Linked DNA regions of Drosophila melanogaster. The protein of the gene in region 2 purifies or fractionates together with the protein of the main gene of each other region. This does not show direct contact. Each region holds a gene or a part of one and is shown on either strand. Other genes may lie near its edges. The genes, in order: muc and Atu.

What was found.
Region 1: the proteins of Atu (region 2) and muc purify together in Drosophila melanogaster (affinity purification with mass spectrometry, with the first as the bait; one large-scale study listed by BioGRID). This does not show direct contact.

What each region holds. Positions count from the first base shown.
Region 1 is NT_033779.5:7,425,110-7,430,975, reverse strand, and holds muc (midline uncoordinated), read right to left. Parts: upstream 4,111-5,866; 5' UTR 3,776-4,110; coding exon 3,615-3,775; intron 3,249-3,614; exon of another isoform or gene 3,203-3,248; intron 3,106-3,202; exon of another isoform or gene 3,032-3,105; intron 2,930-3,031; coding exon 2,760-2,929; intron 2,696-2,759; coding exon 2,297-2,695; intron 2,099-2,296; coding exon 1,872-2,098; intron 1,810-1,871; coding exon 1,461-1,809; intron 1,395-1,460; coding exon 1,292-1,394; intron 1,234-1,291; coding exon 1,104-1,233; 3' UTR 647-1,103; downstream 1-646. Other genes in the region: CG5958 (uncharacterized protein), read left to right, coding at 121-303.
Region 2 is NT_033777.3:5,611,719-5,616,668, reverse strand, and holds Atu (another transcription unit), read right to left. Parts: upstream 3,312-4,950; 5' UTR 3,208-3,311; coding exon 3,177-3,207; exon of another isoform or gene 3,110-3,176; coding exon 3,046-3,109; exon of another isoform or gene 2,982-3,045; coding exon 2,195-2,981; exon of another isoform or gene 2,095-2,194; coding exon 799-2,094; 3' UTR 730-798; downstream 1-729.

The DNA.
Region 1 (5,866 bases), on a different chromosome or scaffold from region 2:
CCTGATTCTTACAATTATAACCAAGTTATATAAACCATATTAATTAGACATAACTGATTTCCCCCTCCTTTTAAATGAATATTAATAACAATATATCATTGAATAATTTTCTTCCAACAGATGCACTTCCACGGCAGTGACATGAAGTCGTTGCAGAAGTTCCTCGACCCCTCCGTCCTGCCCGCCAACTACAAGGGTACTCTGCCCGCGATCGACTACGGTGGCGTCGAGTGGTTCCCCGCTCTGGAGCAGCAGGCCCAGTATGTGGAGGAGTGGAGCCAGCTTGGCCCTGCCCAGTGGTGATTGGCCCCATTTCAATACTACACTGACATTCGCATCCTACATTGACATTAGCTTAACTTTATGCTTGTAAATACTTTCAATATGTGTTTGCTTAGTTCGTAACATTTTGGCAATAAACTAGTTACATAATACTATAAACCACGGAAAAGCAATGTATATTATTTTTCGACTGGGTGTTGAGAGCATTAAATTTGAGCTGAATAGAGTTTTGTTACTCTAGCTACTGTCTAGAAAGCTTAAAAGTTGATATATGCAACACCCATCAGATAATGTTTTAAATTTGGAGGCATCGTGGTTTGAATTTAGGCTGAAACACACTATAATTAAAATAAAAGTCAATTTTATTTAAGAATTGGCTAGTTCATGTGAGTGTTTTGGGTTTATTTAACGCGTCTTTGGACTTTCAACTACTTCCATTTTCATACTCGATCATGATCAACATATGCGAACAAAGCATAAAAAACGTTTTGCATATCAAACGGAAATTTACAGCTCGGTGAGTGGGTTAATTCGAATATCATTCAAGTATTTTGTGTACTCTTCTACAATCATGGCAACGACGGTGACCATCAATAACTACATCAATAATTACACAATTTAATTTCTATATATATATATATATAGGCGACCGATGAGTTAAATCCAATTTAAAACTTTACATATGTGACACCGATTAGAAACCACATATCCACATATTGCATGTCGATTGAAACTCCTCGCTTAAAGAGAGGATGCTAAATTTGTTATCCTTTTTTTGTTTTCGTTGGAGTCTCTAAATGTGATGGGTCGTTTCTGTCCGCTTACAATACCATATTGGAAGGATCCTCCATGTAGTCGCGGAAGTGCTGCAGCCACCTGGCAGCAACAGCACCATCCACAACACGATGATCAGCACTCAGGGTGACCGTCAGCATGTTGACCTCCTTGAAGCTGCATAGAAAAAAAGATTATATTAGTTAGTGTACTATTCTCCTTATTTGAAACTTACCCCTTGAGACTGTCGGGATCAGCAACCAACTGTTTCGTTGTGGTGCCAATGGCAAGGATGCACGATTGAGGAGGGTTGATGACAGCGGCAAACTGGTTCACACCTGTGGTAGGATAACATATTAATTACCAAATTTGGACCAGGCTTTATATAACTGTATTTCCCATACCGAACATGCCCAGATTAGAAACCGAGATGGTGCCACCCTGGAATTCGTGGGGCTGAAGTTTGTTGTCGCGCGCCTTGGCTGCCAGCGCCTTGACATCCTTAGAGATCTCCAGGACACCCTTGCGGTCGGCATTGAAAACAATCGGGGTAATCAGACCCTTGTCTGTGGAGACAGCAACCGAAACATCGACGTCGTCGTACTTGCGAATTACTGTGTCCATCCAGGCGGAGTTCGCTTCGGGAACCTTAAGACTGGCAATGGCCACGGCCTTGATAATGAAGTCGTTTACAGAGACGCGGGCACCCTGCTTCTCGTACTTCTTGTTCACCTTCGCGCGGAACTTCAGCAGCTGTAAAAATTTCATTTAAATTAAATTTGAATTAAGAAGTATATCTGTTCGTGATAACCCACCTTATCCACTTGGCATTGCACGGTGACGTAGTAGTGAGGCAGTTGTGTCTTGGACTCCAGCAGACGTTTGGCAATCACTGCGCGCATGTTGGTCACCGGAATGTCCTCGTAGCGCGCTCCAGCTGCCCTGGGGGCCTTGGCAGGTGCCGCAGCAGCTGGCTTGGCTGCTGCTTTCTGGCCTGCAAGATCACCAGATTTAATTGAGCCATGGACTCCACTGCCCTTGCCTGCACACAAAAGCCGCGGATTAGTAACGGAACAATTGGACAAAGGGCGCTATATGAAAAGCTGTACGGTTGGATAGTGTATATGGGAGGTTTTGTTATCTGTAACGAATGATTATGATGGATGTTAGTCAGGTGATGCATGCATTGCGAAATGGAACAGGATGTGTGTAAGAGAGGCATTAGTTAGGATTAAACAACCTTGTAGACGCAGCTGTTGTGCCTCGGCTAGTCGCTTGGCCATGGGACTGGCATATACACGGCCCGTACCTGCTGCAGCTGGAGCAGCGGCGGGAGCTGGTGGAGGCGCAGCGGCTGCTGGAGCTGCGGCGGGTGGTGGTGGTGGTGGCGGAGCTGCTGCTGCTGCCGGTGCTGGAGCTGGAGCTGCTGCCGGAGCAGCTGGTGCTGCGGCGGCACCGTCGTCCTTGAAGTTCGCGAAAGCAGCTACGCTGCCTTGGTCCGGCACGATAATGCACAGCAGCTGGCCAACGGGAACGTCCTTGGTGCCGCCCTGGATGAGAATCTTAGCCAGAAAGCCCTCCTCGGGCGTCTCAAAGCCCATGGTGGCCTTATCCGTCTCAATCTCGCACAGCAAGTCACCTGCAATCAGGGTGTCATAAATTTGATCCTGAAACTCGGATATTTTGGTAACTATCACACGTACCTTCGTTGAGCTTATCGCCCTCCTTCTTCTCCCAGCTGACAATCGATCCGCGCTCCATAGTCGGGGAAAGTGCGGGCAGTGGCACCCTGATGTGTTCCGGAAGGTTGGCATAGGCACGGGCGAAGTTGTAGCTCCATGTGACCGGTGACTGGCTAGTGTTAAGTTTCGACCTGCGCGATATTCAAACAAAACTAGTTTATTAAAGTTGGTTGCATTGGGTTGTATCCACTATTAGAAAACATAATATTGAATAAATAGTATAGGTGTATTACTTGCAATATGGGTATACAGAATCCTTGGAAACTATTTTTCCTTCTGATTCGTAACGGTGTACATTTTGTATGACCTGTTATAATTACAAAATGACCATGTTAATGAAAGCATTTTGGATGGGTTAATTTATGGACGCTCGATCAGCTGTTAGTTTGTTGTTGTTTACGTACCCACACTCCTGTACTATCTACACATTTAGGCGTTCAATCGCCCACTCGTCAGATGTAAACAATGGAACCCAAAAAGAGTGACCCATTAAATCATTAGACGGAATTTTCTAGCTTATCAGCCAGCCGAAACACTATCACGCATCATGCGATATAGGAGAGCGTGTATTCGACCTTGGCCATAAACCAAATCAGCAGTGGAGCACGCACAACACACGCAAATCGCATGGGTATGTGTGAGAGTGTTTTTGGGGAATACGACATATATGCTAAATAGTTGGACACGGGACTGTCAATCATCGCCCCCCACAGGTCCCACATAATCCCGCTGCAGTATACGCATTTTGCAATATTACACAACCATTTCTAACCTCAACGAAAGCGGGGAGAATTGGGGAAATTGGGAGATTTTTACCTGATGCTCTGGAGTTTCCGGGAGTTGATCAGCTGGCTGCTGAGGGCGCGCACAACCACATTTCCCGTCGATCGGCGGACATAGGTGGCGTTATTCGATCGCAGGAGCACGGAGCGAAGGGCCCCAAGTTCGTTTCGTGTTGTTGCAAGGGAGCGCAGCATATTCGTCCTTTATCGTTGGTCTGCCTGGGGAATCCTAATCCAAGTCCTGTTGTGGCAACGCGCGTTGATGAAGTGGATCTAACGGCGGCGCGTCTTTCGGAATTTTGACTAACGAATCGAGTCGAAAAACGGCAAAGTCGAAAATTTACAAAATTATGCCGATAACCTTACGGAGGTCAGTGTGAACGCAGACGGAACGCCAAAAAATGTGCAAGCGGTATTCAATATACCGAAACATACCATCACTTTTTTTAGCGGTTCAGCGAATTTATTTTCAAAAAACGTACACGAAATGTTTGACAGAGGTATCACAGTGTTTTGAAAGGAGATTCTCCTTTGTGATATTTTTTCATATGACCCAGCAATTTATGAAGTTGTTGTTAGTTACCTCGAAATCTTTTGCTGAATTCTTATTTTCATTTCCGTTTTAAATTCAATTGATTTTTTTTAAAGCAACGATATTAAAAAGATGTTTTAATTTTCCAATTGGAAATTTGGCTTTTTTACAAAATGGTGCATGGGAATGAGTGCGGTGAGGCGTCTGGTCACACTTTACTCGTGCTTGTAGACATTCGATAGTTTGTTATGCACCATGCACACTATTCACTAATTACGAAAATGCTTATATATAAATAGCTCATATTTTAAGAATGTTTTTGTCTATCTAAATATGTATATGTAGTTCATTCAATTAATACTTTCTTATGTAGAATATTCTCTGAAATTATATACGCAAATAAAATGTCATTATAGATGATGGACGGTTTGTTATTATTTATTCCGGAGCATAAACAATCTATTTTTATACCAAAGCCCACAACCTGTTTGGAAATTTGAGGAGCTCGCATGGAAAAAAATACAAAACTGGACGACTGAATAAATCAGACAATATATTATTGAAATTTTTTCTAGTCACATTAACAGATGTTTTTTCGTTTCATTAAATTAAATATAATGATTATAACAATAATCATTTTTTGTTGTTCCCTTTGTGAAAGATATGATTCCAATTAAAGTAAAGTAACACAGTTTTAAGAAGCCATAATTTTATTTTTAAGAAAAACTTAATAAAAAGAGTACTTTTATATTTTACTCATCTTTAAATTAGGCAATTTGTTGAACACTTGTATCGGTCGCTTTCGTATGCAAATCGCCTCATATTGAGTGTACTTCAACATGTGCCGGGTTACGAGACACACCAGAGCACCTGATGAAGTACAATAGACATGGGAGACAGTTGATACACATGGGATTTCTGGCGAGGACTCGCCTGCGAGCATTTCGCTTATTTATATGGTGAAGATGGAGATATATGTCTGCCACCACGCGCGCTACTTCAGGTACCTGACTGTATATAAAAAACCAGCCCCGGTCACTGATTAGCGCGCAAGGTAGGAGACTTTACAGTCGGGGGAACATCATCACATATAACGAGTAGGAACTGTGGTGGCTGGAGTTGAAGATGAAGAGCCAGGCCAGTCCAAGCCAAGCCCAGTCAGGTTTTTTTTTCAGCATTTGCAGTTCTGAGACAGATGTTTGGCCGCCGCATGGCAACAAAACTGCATCAGCGAATGGCGACCCCCTTCTGGGGAGGGGGTCACGGGAGTCGACCTTGTGCCTGGTATTAGGTCTCCGTCGCTTTGGGGTTAACGATCTTTGCGAGCTTGGTAGTTGTACGCGTTGATGATGATGACGCCATGCGAATTTTATGCAATAACAATGCCAAAATTAGTCATATGAGAGCAGAAAACTGGAACCAGGGGCGTATCTAGATTCAACTTGCGGGTTTTTTCACTTTGTTGTCTTCCATTCTTCAAGTGCTGAAAATTGTGAATTAATTTGGTTTGATTGTCAAAGGTTTTACCAACTATTTCGGAGCGTAGTATTGGCCCCCTGGTTGCGCCACTGGAGTGCTAATGACCACATAGGACGTGACGTCATCCGTCAGCGAATTATTACATTTCATTCAGCAAATTCTCTTTTCCTTGCGTTTCGTTCGGCAGACCCTTGATATTCTATATTTGAAACGCTGTAAAGAGACAAGCAAAGGAAATGAAAGCCAAAGAAGACGCAATAAAAGTGAGCATAAAA
Region 2 (4,950 bases):
TATATATTTAAAATCAACAACCCGCAAACATCTCGTGTGTAAAAATGGCTAACATGAGTGGCCAATGCCCACTTGAAAATATCCCCCGCCATCGCGGTTCAGCGGACAGCTAATTGCGCGGGCTAAGTGCTCCTCCTATCGACCAAACAAATATGGGCCATTTGGGTGCTGCTGACTTTCGGCCAATAAATAATGGATATTTGAAGGTCGCTACTTGGTGATGGCGAAAAATTTACTAAAAGACACCTCTATATTTTGATCAAATTTAAACGAATGCTATAAACTATATAAAGAGAAAAGAAAATTTTAAAATAACTTCCAAATAGTACGTATTTTACGTACTTTTTTGTTTTTAGATTTGCTGCTCTTTGGATTTATCCATCCACATTGAATGAAATCTAATTTAAGTAGCGTTACAGAAACCGTCTCTAATCACTTCCCAGAAATCGAAACTATCTGGTTCTACAGTCACATCGAAGCGCCGACAAAATAGCAAAAGAGACCCAAAACAACAAAAAAAAAAACAAAAAAACTGCACAACAGCTTATTTCCCATTTAGCAACTAATCCTTCCAAATAATCCACCAAACGACTCCTACAACAATTCGTAATAAAAAGACTGAAGTTTGGGTACGCAAACCTCATATGTCGTCACTTGGCCTTTTTGTATAAATAAATAATAGAGTAATTCTAAATTTGCAAGATGCTTAACTAAGCAAAGTCGAATTCAGCGCGTGAAAATTGAAAATTACTTTTATTGGTGTAATCAAGGAACGCACTTGAACTAGCTTAATCGTTGTTAATCGTTGTCACTGCCCGATCCGCTGCCGGAACCACTGCCACTGCCGCTTCCACTGGCAGACTTGCTGCTGCCGCCGCCGCTCTTCTGGCTGCCCTCGTTTTCGCTACCACTAGCGCTGCCCCCTTCTCCGCCGCTCTTGTTGCTGTGGCCGCTCTTGGCGCTGCCGGCGTCCGATTCGCTGTCGGAGTCGCGCAGTGCCTTGCTGGCCTTGGCCTTGTCCACCTTCTTGCTGCGACGCGCCTCGAAGTCGGAGCCCTCGTCTTCGTCCGACGAGTAGATCGTAGATGCCTTAACCTCCGCCTGGCCGGCACCAGAGCCCTTCTTATACCGGTTCTTGATGGCACTCAGGCTGATGGCGTTCTCATCGTCGCTGCCTTCGTCGTGCTGGTAAGACGAAGTGCCGCCTCCAATCAGTGGTTCGCCCGCGCCTGGTTTCTTTTTCTTGGGCAGCGACTTGTGCTGATTGCGCATCGCCTGGCGCAGCTTGGCCTCCTCCTCCCTGAGCTGCGTTGGCCTATCCGTGGTGGGATCCTTGCCCACCTGCGTAAGAATCTTAATGCCACTGGTCTTGCTGGATCGATCGGCCAGCGACATGGTCATCTTCTTGTGCGTAAAGGACTCCGTGGAATGAGGACGGAAAGTGAGCTTGGTCCTGAAGACCGACTGGCCCTGCAGACCCGTTCCTTGGCGGACGAACAGATGATTGTGGTCACCTAACAGCGGCTGCCTGTAGGCGTCGAAGATCTCGTTGCCCAGGTGAAGGGACATGCTGCCGTCGGACCAGCGCACGAATCGCGCATTAGACTCGCGCACCATGTCGCCCTTATTGTTCATGTACTCTCGCCATCGGATAGTGTTGCTCACTTTGAGCTTGATACGCTGTCTGCCCTCCTCGTCCATTGTCTCCTCTTCGTCGATCTCGTCTTCGTAGGTTTCCGGATCAAACGGATGCGTGACCACTGACAAAAAGTTGGGAAGCTTGATAAAGTGCTGCTCTTTTCCCAGGTCTGCAGAGATGCGCGGAATCTCCACATCGATTCGGGTCTCCGGAAGCGGTTCAGGCTCATCCTCCTTGGGCGCCGATTCTACTTGGCTCTCGACTTTATCCCGGGATCGCGATCTGGAGCGGGAACGCGAGTGGCTCATAGAACGACTGTGGGAGTGGGACTTGCTTTGACTGCGGCTCTTGGAGCGCACTGGGGATTTTCTGGCAGCTGGTCCAGCCTCATCCTCATCGTCACTTATATCATCGGCATCTCCAAATATGTCAGCTGCAGCCGGAGCTTTCTTTCCCTGCATAATTGAAATGTACATATATCAGGGTAATTTTTCCTTAATTATAGAACTAGATAAATAACAATATAGTTGAGTAGTTCAGAGTGGTGTGCCTTACCACATCCTGATTGGAATCGCTATCAGTGTCGATCAGCCGTGACTTCTTAGCTTTGGTGGGCGATTCCTCAATGTCGCTATCGCTGCCGCTCTTTTTCTTCTCTTGATCGGAGCCACTCGCCTTGCGTGCCTTCTTCTTGGGCACACCCACATCGCTGCCGGAGCCGGATGCGCTGCCACTACGACTTCTATTGGGCGACGGCGTGCCCGTCTTGGAACGCGATCTGGAAGTGCGACTGCCACTCCTGCTCCTACTTCTGCTGCGACTGCCGCTCTTGGAATTGGCACGCTCTACGTCAATTTGCAGATTGGGCGAATTAGACCGCGATTCCTCGTTGCCCTTGAGTGAACCGCTATGAGACCTCGATCGAGACTCAGAGCGGTCACTTTGTGCCGAACCAGATTTGCGACTCCGAGCGGATCCCGATCTGCGACTGTGGGCCGAACCGGATCTGCGGCTGTGAGTAGATCCCGATTTGCGACTTTGGGGAGAACCAGATCTACGACTCTGAGGCGATCCTGACTTGCGACTTTGCAACGAACCTGATCTGTGACTTTGTGGAGATTCCGGAGTTCCAGATTTACGGCTACGCGCAGATCCCGACCTGCGACTGTGAGCAGATCTTGATCTCTTACTACGAGCGGAGCCAGACAGCTGCGAGTGGCGGCTTTCTGCAGACCCGGACCTGGCACTACGCGGAGACCCAGAGCCGGACCGGGATCGGGAAGACCTGGAGCCCGATCGGGAACGATCGCTGCCACTACCCGACCTGCGACTGCGTTGGGATCTGGAAAACGAGGGGAAGGTAATCAGCACTCTCCCGCCGCCGTGTTTGAATATCAAATAGTTACCCGGGCGCACTACCTCCTTGCGGCGTGACACTGCGGCTTCCACTTCGACTCGAACCGGATGAACCTACATACATATGTGAACAGTGTAAATATTAGTTACTCAGGCCTGGACTTAGCCATTAGCCACTCACCACTGTCGTCGTCCGAGTTTTGGCTGCCCATAATGCCAAGTAAATTTTGTTTAAAATCGGAAAATCTGCAATCAAGACAATTCGCGGCCGGGCAATAAAGTTGAGTTTAGGAGGTCTAGGCACTGTCACAGTAATCGATAACTGAAATACGCAAAGAGGTCTTCGCATAGACGCCCCAGATGGCAGCCCAATAACTGTTTTTGTCTATCGATTAAAAGTAAACAACTATTTTACCAATCGCAAAGGCGAATAAAATTGTTGTCTTTAAAGAAAACAATTCGAATATTCTTTGAAATATACAGTAATCAATGCACCAAACCCTCTCGTTGCAAACTAACTACTATCGATACCAACGCTGTCTCGATAGCAGATTTTTACATCCCTAATTCTTGTGTGTTTGTATTCGTGACAGCCACAAAGTTTTTTGCGGAACATTTTTTGTGTACAATTTAAAGCCATTTCGGGCGCTAAAGAATTGTTTACTGCCCCTCGATAGTGGATCGTAAGGACCCGGCTCCATTAAGTTCGAGTGCATTTGCGGGTCGGCGGCGTAAAAGACGCGCAAATCTAGCAGGGAATTTGCCCAATTCGCTGCTTCGGGTGAAATTTCAATGAACTGAGAAAACAAAGACAGACACACACACAAACACACGCACAGGGTCACAGACACAGTGCTTGTGCAGCAGTGTAGTAAGAAGCAGAGACAACAGCGCAATAGCGAGCGATTATTTACTTACAAATAAAATACAAAACGGAAACATTAACAAAAAGCGAGAGCCCTGGCCAATCCAATCGGCCGAGTGTAACGTGCGCGACATTTGCATAAGCGTGAATATAGAAACTACAGTGGTCGCAAGAGCGGCGCAGAAAAAACGGACAACTTTTAGCCTCCGCCAGGCATCAACATCCTTCGACTCTCCTCTCCTCTCTCTCTCTCTCTCGCTCGCTGTCTCTTCGGCACGAAGACCACGCTGCATACAGACGAGGCACATATACATATGCACACACGCACAGCGGTATATATGCCATTTATTTAGGGACGACTCGGCGCGGAAAAGTACTAACTAACCTCGTTCCCGCTCCTACACCCGCTACGGTTCCAGCTCCCGTTTCTCCGTTGCATCCTTTCAGCTTCCAGCGAGTGAGTGCTAGTGACCGAGACACCCACAGCTAACCAACAGCTGCCCAGTGGGAGTTAGCGGACTTTCATATTCCTGCTGATTCGCCGATCCGTGATCCGTCACAGTTACGGTTACGGCGCCAGGACAACGACTCCTACGTCCTCGTCCCGCCGGCCGCTTTGGAATGTTAAATGCGGTGAGAACGATTCGATCAGTGTATGTTGTTGTTGCTGGACAGAGTGGAAAGCGAGCGTTAACAGTGGAAGAACAAGAAGCGACAGTATCGTCTAACGTTAATTTAGGTAAGTTGCGCGCATTCCTCCTTTCGGATCCGTCGTTCTTATTTTGTACTTGCTGAATCGCCCGAGGTTAAATGGTTGGTTAAACACTTGTCCCCAGAGTTAACGCTAGCCATTGAATTTTGTTGTAAGCGCGGTCGCCAGTGTTGGGAAGCGTCTGTTAGGTCAGCTGATAAAGTTACATGCGTGCAGGTAAAACATCAATTTAATCGACAGCTCCCGTATTCCAGGAAGATTTGCTCCTTTCAAATTAAATGCACTGGCATCCTGTGCTAGTATATCTTGCATTCCAGGCGAGTTCAGCGCACGTTGAAGTTTCGATAAGATAAAGCCGGTCTTTACCATAGGAAGGGT